2 linked regions of the Macaca mulatta genome follow. The protein of the gene in region 2 binds, or shares a complex with, the protein of the main gene of each other region. Links are inferred from orthologs where the notes say so. Each region holds a gene or a part of one and is shown on either strand. Other genes may lie near its edges.

The links. The genes of interacting proteins can lie anywhere in the genome.
Region 1: the proteins of CMKLR1 (region 2) and RARRES2 are in contact, whole or in part, in a cryo-EM structure (PDB 8ZJG), measured with the Homo sapiens proteins. The link is inferred for Macaca mulatta from reciprocal best matches to the Homo sapiens genes CMKLR1 and RARRES2. Residues at the interface, in NP_001135815.1 of Homo sapiens: Asp20, Tyr21, Leu22, Asp23, Ser24, Ile25, Val26, Val27, Leu28, Phe88, Leu92, His95, Tyr103, His104, Asn116, Leu119, Ile120, Met123, Arg178, Leu183, His184, Gly185, Lys186, Ser188, Cys189, Phe190, Asn191, Trp203, Thr205, His217; in NP_002880.1 of Homo sapiens: Leu34, Phe37, His38, Phe60, Thr75, Ser76, Cys77, Arg96, Leu111, Gly112, Arg113, Leu114, Val115, His116, Cys117, Pro118, Ile119, Thr133, Leu136, Arg137, Gln139, Arg140, His146, Ser147, Phe148, Tyr149, Phe150, Pro151, Gly152, Gln153.

What each region holds. Positions count from the first base shown.
Region 1 is NC_133408.1:189,729,282-189,733,017, forward strand, and holds the start of RARRES2 (retinoic acid receptor responder protein 2 precursor), read right to left. Parts: upstream 2,473-3,736; 5' UTR 2,418-2,472; exon of another isoform or gene 2,386-2,417; intron 1,969-2,385; exon of another isoform or gene 1,828-1,968; intron 1,431-1,827; 5' UTR 1,411-1,430; coding exon 1,237-1,410; intron 1,108-1,236; exon of another isoform or gene 1,009-1,107; coding exon 904-1,008; intron 1-903. UniProt on the Homo sapiens protein: Adipocyte-secreted protein (adipokine) that regulates adipogenesis, metabolism and inflammation through activation of the chemokine-like receptor 1 (CMKLR1). Also acts as a ligand for CMKLR2.
Region 2 is NC_133416.1:115,475,281-115,479,016, forward strand, and holds the start of CMKLR1 (chemerin-like receptor 1), read right to left. Parts: upstream 2,562-3,736; 5' UTR 2,465-2,561; intron 2,389-2,464; exon of another isoform or gene 2,056-2,388; 5' UTR 2,006-2,055; exon of another isoform or gene 1,981-2,005; intron 1,801-1,980; exon of another isoform or gene 1,608-1,800; intron 1,473-1,607; exon of another isoform or gene 1,189-1,472; intron 130-1,188; exon of another isoform or gene 1-129. UniProt on the Homo sapiens protein: Receptor for the chemoattractant adipokine chemerin/RARRES2 and for the omega-3 fatty acid derived molecule resolvin E1.

The DNA of each region.
Region 1 (3,736 bases), on a different chromosome or scaffold from region 2:
CCCAGGAGCAAGAGGTCATGCAGGCCAGCAGGTTTTAGGCACAGCCCACCCTAGAATGTCAGAAGTTAGACCCATGCAGTTTTCAAACTATGGAACTTTCGTGTGTGTGCAGGCAGGAGTCCTTCCCAGATGGGTTGTGTGGCACATGCATGAACACACATGTATGTGGTTTGTATGCAGGAGTGTGGGTGGATGGGTGTGTGATGTATGCATGGACGTATCCACTTGTGCTCGTGTGAAGGCAAGAATCCTCCTCCGATGGGTTCTTCCCACCCAGCGCCTCCAGAGTGGCTCAGCTGTCACCTATTCTGTTTATTACATTTTCTTGTAAGATTTGATTTGAGGTTGGTGAATCATTGCTATAATCCAGTGCCCTCCTTGAGCCGACAGAGGGAACTGGAGCCTTTACAGAACCTGTAATACAGAGCCCAGGCAGTACTCACAGAGTGGGAACTAGAACAGTCACTGCACTCCCATCCCGGGCATCACCCCCATGCTGGAGGGTTTGCCCCCACTGTGGCTGATGACTGGAGCCCTGCTAGGCTAGGAGGGCACCAGACACATCCACACAGCGAGCTCCTTCCACCCAGGCCCTGAAGCTTGAGAGAGGAACTCAGACAGAAGTGAGCCCTGCTCTGATGAAGATAAGTCCAGGGGTAACCAAACCCTCTTCTTGTCTGCCAGGCCCCAGCTCCCCACCAACCACCCTCACAACCTTGGGCTCAGGCTGAGCCGCTCCACCTCTAAGGAGGCTCCTCACAGTGGGGTCTCTAACCTCAGGGCTTCTTAATAGACCTCCCAATTCTATGCAGGCACACCCAGGCATGTGCCCCATACGCCAAACCCCAAGTCCATGAACTCACACCCAGCATGCGCCCATTGCTCTCACACCCCTTCACTCACCCCATTGGGCCTGACTTTGCACTCGGGTTTCTTCCAGTCCCTCTTCCGGCAGCTTGTCTGCTGGAGCTTAAATTCCAGCCTCACAAATATTCCAGCTGGGAAGTGCTGCAGACAGGCAGGCAGAGGATGGCCGGTAACCAGCTGAGCGTGCAGAGCAAGCCCTGGTGTGACCCGCGCCTCCCTCACGCAGTCACATCCCAGCAGGTTGGACTGGGGCCTTTTCTCCAAAGGGCTGGGGCTCAGAGCCCAAGCACTTCTGTCTCGCTTCCTGGGAATGCGCTGGTCTCCCGGGATGCGAGCCTCCCTGCTCCCGCCAGGGCCATGCTTACTCACCGTGTCCACGGCGCTGTCCACACCGGTCTCCTGGAAGGCCCACTGCACGGGCGGGTGCTTGTGAAATTCCTCCAGGGCCACCTGCAGGCCCCGGCGCTGGGCTTCTGTGAGCTCCGCGACGCCGACGCCCACCGCGCCCAGCCACAGGGCCAGCGGGATCAGCAGCCGTCGCATGCTTCCGTGTCACTCCGGCCCTGCGAAGCGGGTGTGCGCCCTTCAGCTCTCCGAGCCAGCCCGAGCCGCCTACTCCCGCGCCCTGCTCTCGGGGGAAGGCGGGGGGGAAGGCGGGGGGGTCGGCGGGGGGGACAGGCATGTAGAACGCTGGGCAGAGGTGAAGGAGCCTGGAAATGGCCCTTTCTCCAAATTGATCTTGGGGTCTTCCTGGTCCTCTCCGCTCCCTTCCACCCTGCCCGCGCTGTTCCCTGGGGCCTGCAGTTTTAGCAAAGTTCCCTGCCCATGCCAGGAATCAGTCAGTTCCCACTCCCACCCTCCACCCCTCATCTTGCCCTTTCTCCCTCTCCCTGGGTCTCTGACACGACCCCCTCTCCTCCCTGCCGTCTCCGGAGCCCCTCTCTCCTTTCCCCGCTCAACCTTCTCCCAGACCGCGACTCCCTCCCTGTTCAGAATCATCGTGCTCCCACGGGGTCCCCAGTCTCCGAGGTCCAGGCCAGCCTGGGGGAGGGGCAGGGGTCGGAGGTCGAATACTTTTGGGAGGATCTAAACACGTGGGAGGGCCCGACGGGTGGGAGCCGTGGGAGGCCTCACCCTCCCGCGCGGGGGCTGCCTCGGGCCACCAGCCCGCCCCAGTCGCTAGGAATGCGCGTCTCGCGCCACCCAGCCCTTGGCTTTCCCGCTTCAAGCAAAATCTTCCCTCCTTCCTCTTTTTTCTAGGGCCTTCCCCATGACCCCTCTCCCAGCCCTTCTGAGTAGTCCCCTGATGCATGACTGGGGCCACCGGAGGGGCTGACCCTCCCGGCGAGCCCCGTCGGTCCTGGTGGTCTTGGGACCGGAAAGAGACAGATGTGGAAACCGAGGCCCCCTCAGTGAAGAGCTGCCAGGGTGGTCGCCTTAGACCAAAGGCGTTCGTCATTCCGCCTGCGCAGCTGCCCCTCCGCCCGGCTGCCGCCCCAGCCCGTTTCCCCTCCTCACGTCCTTCCCTGCGCCTGGAGGTCTCCCCTTACCGTCCCGCAGCTGAAATCTTGGCCTCGCTGTCTGCCTCTTCCCGCTTTTCTCGAGGGGTGGCCCCCACCTCCTCCCACCCCCACCTCCTGGACCCTCTCCAGCAACTCCGGCTCCTCCCCTGCCCCGTGGGACCGGCCTCTGGGGCGGGATGCCGTCCCGCGCCCTTCCTCCCCATCCCACCCCTCTCCCTCCCCTCAGTCCAGCCCTCATGACCCTGACCCCGGCCGCGGCTGCAGGCGGCTAGCCCGGGCGCGCAGCCCTTGGTCCCACCTCCCTCTGGCTCCGGCCTGAGCATTCCGCGGTCTCGGCCGGCCTGGGCCTCTTCTCCGCTGCTCTGCTCCCCCAGGGGCTTTCTGTGCCCCACTCCTGCCCAGGCAGGGCTGCCCTGTCTTGGGTCCTTTACGGGGGACCATTCCCCAGCGTCCCTGAGACACTCATCCTGGGATTTCTTCCCCGAAATACAGACATCCTCAAACCAAATGAGACCTCGATGAGGTCCCTACCCCTGTCCCCGCCTCCCACTCCCTGAGCCACACTGAGAAGGAAGGTCTCTCCTTTAGGGAGGACTCTGGCGCCTGCAACCTTGATCGACAGCAAAGATGTCCAGTGTGGATCCTGCATCTGCCTTTCCTGACAATTCCTCGTGTCTCATTATCCGTGGGGTAGATTCTCATGGGGAGTGGAGGAGCCTTCCGGTGTGGCAGAACAGCATGATGGAATTCATAAAGTGAGAGGAAACCCAAGGAAAACTGTGCAAATAGCGGCTGGACTCCGGGGTATGCTGGAGCAAGGACGAAGAAGCTCTGGGACTTCGCATGTCAGTAACCACCACCACCATGCCTCTGGTTCCCACAGCACAGGGATCACCTGAAGTAGAGGATCTCATGTAACTTCATGGCTCTCTCTGAACTTCTGTTTATCTGTAAGATGGGGATCAGAAACTGTCTTAAGGAGTTGTTTTGAGGATTAAATGAGGAAACATGAAAAGCAACTGATGTCTAGTACCGGGCACAAGGCTTTTGTCCCCTACTTATGCACCCCTGGCCAGGGTTCTCCACTTAGAGCTGAAAGCTTCCTTAACAGTGTGCTCTGGGGGCACCAGAAAGAAACTCGACTTCCATTAACCACTTCCGGGTGCGTGAAATCCCACCACTACTTAGGGCAGTTCACTCCCCAGCTTGAGCTACTCAGACTTCCTTAAGCAGAAAGAGATGGGATCTGCCTTCCCTGAAAGCTTTAGATGGGGTTAGAGAGAAAAGATACACCCAAAGATGTTTCCCAGCCCAAGAACTTGAAGGAAACCAAAATATTTCACCCC
Region 2 (3,736 bases):
CAGCCAAGGCATTTAGAGGAATCTTTCCTTCAAACCAGTTTGGAAGAGGCAGGAGAGACGGCAGGAACCACAGAGAAGACTGATCTTGAGAAGGAGGTAGGGATGCAAAAGGGAAGTTGAGGGCTTTCCCTAATAGAAAAAGAAAGACTCAGAACCTAGATGTTCAGGTGTATGACCTCAGACCAGTGATCTGGCATCTCTGAACCGCACAGGTCTGAGTGATTGGGTTTATACCAAGTAGTAGTTCCCTGATATTGCAGTGTGTTGTTTATTTATAATTTTGCCAAAGTTGTCTTGCCCATTTAAAATGAGCTATTCTGAAAACAGAGTAGGGAGTGGAATATTTTCAACAGAGAGTGCCGGCAAAGGGTTTGTGTCCTTCATATACAAAGAACTCTTAGAGATCAATAAGAAAAAGATAAACATGTCCCCAGAGGAGAAAAAAAAATGGGAACAGACTTGAGCAGGAGAGTCACACTAGAAATGTGGAAAATAAGTTTATAAAAGAGAATCAACACTAATAAATAAATGAAATACCTATTGAAGCATCTGGATAGTATTCTCAACTTCACATCAGGGAAGTTTTAAGGGATGGGTAGCAACAAGGTGGGTTTAGGACATGAGAATACTGTGCCCTGGTATAACATCATAGAGAGGTCAAGCTGTCACAGCCTTCCAAGATACAGTGTGACCAAAAGCTTAAAAAAGTCTCAAAAATAGGCAAACCTTAAATCTAGCAGTTTCTAAAAGGTATTCATAAGACACACACACAAAGATGTCATACTAAATAAAGTGTTCATTGCAGCACTGTTCTAATAGAAAAAAAAAAAAAAAGGAGAAGCAAGTCGATTATGGAAAAGTCAAATAATCTTAAGATACCCTTTCTATGCAGCCATGAAAAATGTATATTGGAAGAATATAGGTGATATGGAAGAAAGTTCACAATCTGCGGTTAAGCAGGTTACCAAACTAGATGTGGAAATGCACGTTCATATATTTACATGTGTGTCCTTGCTATTTCTTTAAACAGTGAGCATGCATTACTTTTGACATCTGAAGATAATAACAAAACTCTTCCTTTTGACAAATACGAAATTATAAAAGGAAACAAACTTTTCTCTCTGTTAGTATTCATTCCCCTTCCCTGGCCCCTCTCAGAAGACACCCAAGGCAAGTGTGTGAAGATACCTTTCCTCTGGTCTCTGCCCGGAAGGTCTTCCTGAGGGTTCCCTGTGACTGCAGGCCACTGGAGGCTGTTGGGGAGACTTGCACACCCTGGCTTCTTTCTCCAAATCACAGGTTCCTCTGGCTGTGGCTGTTTGCCCAGAAAGCAGTTCATTCATTTGTTCACTCAAGATCCCCCTCCGAACCCCCAGAGCGCTGCGGCTGGAGCACCCCTATCACCCGGGGGCTTCCCAGGGAGCCCGCTCTGTGCTGAGCTCCCTCCTGGCCGCCGGGCTGCTTCCCTGAATGGGACTGGGACAGAACTCAGCCAGAGAAACAGCTGGAGGGAGGAGAGCAAGAGGGAGGGGCAGGAAACTGGGCTGACCGAGGGCGGGGGCGGCTAGCTGCGTGGAGAAGGGGCTGCGAGGGGAGGGTGCCCTTACCAGCCGGGGACTGGGCTCGTGGGTGGCGGCGGGGGCCCGCTGGGGACGACCCGCCCCTCAGGCAGCCTCTTGCAGCTGGGAAGCTGAGCCTACTGAGCGCAAACCGGAGCACATGCGACCCCCGGCTGCTGGGGGAAATGCAAGCGCCTCTGCTCCCGGTGAGGGGCTCAAGCTCCACGCTGACCGACAGACTGGCTGCCTCTCACCCTGGGCCTTTGCAACGCTGTTCCTCCCACCTGGATGCTATTCCTGCCCTAATTCGTGGCCCGATGGTCTCCTACTGCCTCTTCAGGTCTCAGATTGACGATCACCTCCCAGGGAAGCCTTCCCCAACCCTCAGGGGCTGCTCTGCCCCTCAGGGTCACCCCATCACCTCATTGATGCAGTGCTGTCCTTGCCTGTTAAGGTGTCTCTCTCCTTGCACCAAGAACTCCTTACACCAGGAACTCTGTAGGGAAATAACTGTATTTGTTCCCTGCCCTAGCCAGGCACTAAGTGCTGGTTCATCAACTGTGTGGTCACCATCGTTAGTGGAATAATCAAAACAACTGAGAGCCAGGCAGCCTGCTAGGCAATGCGTACTTACACTTCACAGCAACCCTGGATAGCAGGAATTATTACTACCCCAGTCTTACCAATAAGGAAACTGGGGCACAGAGAGATTAAGTCACTTGCCCAAGACCACACCACCAGCAGTTGACAGAGCTGGGATTCCAACTATGCTGTCTGGCTCCAAGGCCCACCCTTGGCCCCAGACAGAAGAAATAACAGAAGTGCCCACTGTGGGCCCCTGTGCCAAGTGCTTCCGTGGAGTAAGCCATGTGAACCACCACCAACATCAGGGAGGCATCACTTGCCCATCCTACACGTGAGGATGCTGGAGCCACAGAGCAGAAGTCGTTTTGTCCAAGGCACCCAGCTCATGCTGACGGAGCCATGGCTGGATCTGAGTCTGTCTGATTCCAAAGCCAAGACTGCCTACGACTGCCTAAAATAATATTTTTAGAAAGGAAAAGAAAAGGGCAGGGCAGGGGAGGGGAAGAGAGGGGAAGGGAGGAGAAGAAAGAAAGGAAGAAAAGGGAGGGCAGGGAGGAAGGTAATGGGGAGGAGGGGAAGGTGAAGGGAGAGGGAGATGGGTAGGGAGGGAGAGAAGGAGAGAAACCTGTGTTTTGGGCTTCAAAGTCTTGGGCAGGTGGAGAATATGTCCTCATCGTCTGATTAGCCTTAGAACCCCACTGATCTCTCCCCACCATCCTCAATCCTTTAATTCAGTGAGCTTTACACTTAGAAACCATCTAATTTCATTCTTCCATTGTACAGATAACTTGAAGCCCAGAGAGATTGAGTCTCTTGCCCAAGGTCATACAGATCTCTACAGTCAGAAGTCTAGCCCAGTCTACCCAACTCTCTTCTTTCCTCTCTTCTTCTTTGGGCTTACCTAGGGTACAAAACATCTTATCAGAACACTTACTGTACAGATGAGAACGCTGAACCCGGAGGAGGCAAGGGACTCACCCAAGGTCACCAGAAGTTAGTAATTGTATTAGTCCATTCTCACACTACTGTGAAGAAATACCCAAGACTGGGTAATTTATAAAGAAAAAAGGTTTAATTGACTCACAGTTTTACATGGCGGGGGAGGCCTCAGGAAACTTACAATCATGGTGGAAGGTACCTCTTCACAGGGTGGCAGGAGAGACAATGAGTGCCAAGCAAAGGGGGAAGCCCCTTAGAAAACCATCAGATTTCATGAGAATTCACTCACTGTCATGAGAACAGGATGGGGAGAAAACCACCCCCATGTTCAATTCCCTCCCACCTGGTCCCTCCCATGACTCATGGGGATTATGGAATTCCAATTCAAGATGAGATTTGGGTCAGGACACAGAGCCAAATCACGTCATTCCCCAAGTTCTCCTGGTAAAAGGAGAGGATATTTCCATAACGTGGCAGGGATCCTGTATATCACCATCTAATAGAGACCAGAGATTCCTAAAGCCTAATTTCCAGACCAGCCCCAGCAGCCTCACCCGGAAGTTTGTTAGAAACACAAACCCTTGGCCGGGCGCGGTGGCTCAAGCCTGTAATCCCAGCACTTTGGGAGGCCGAGACAGGCGGATCACGAGGTC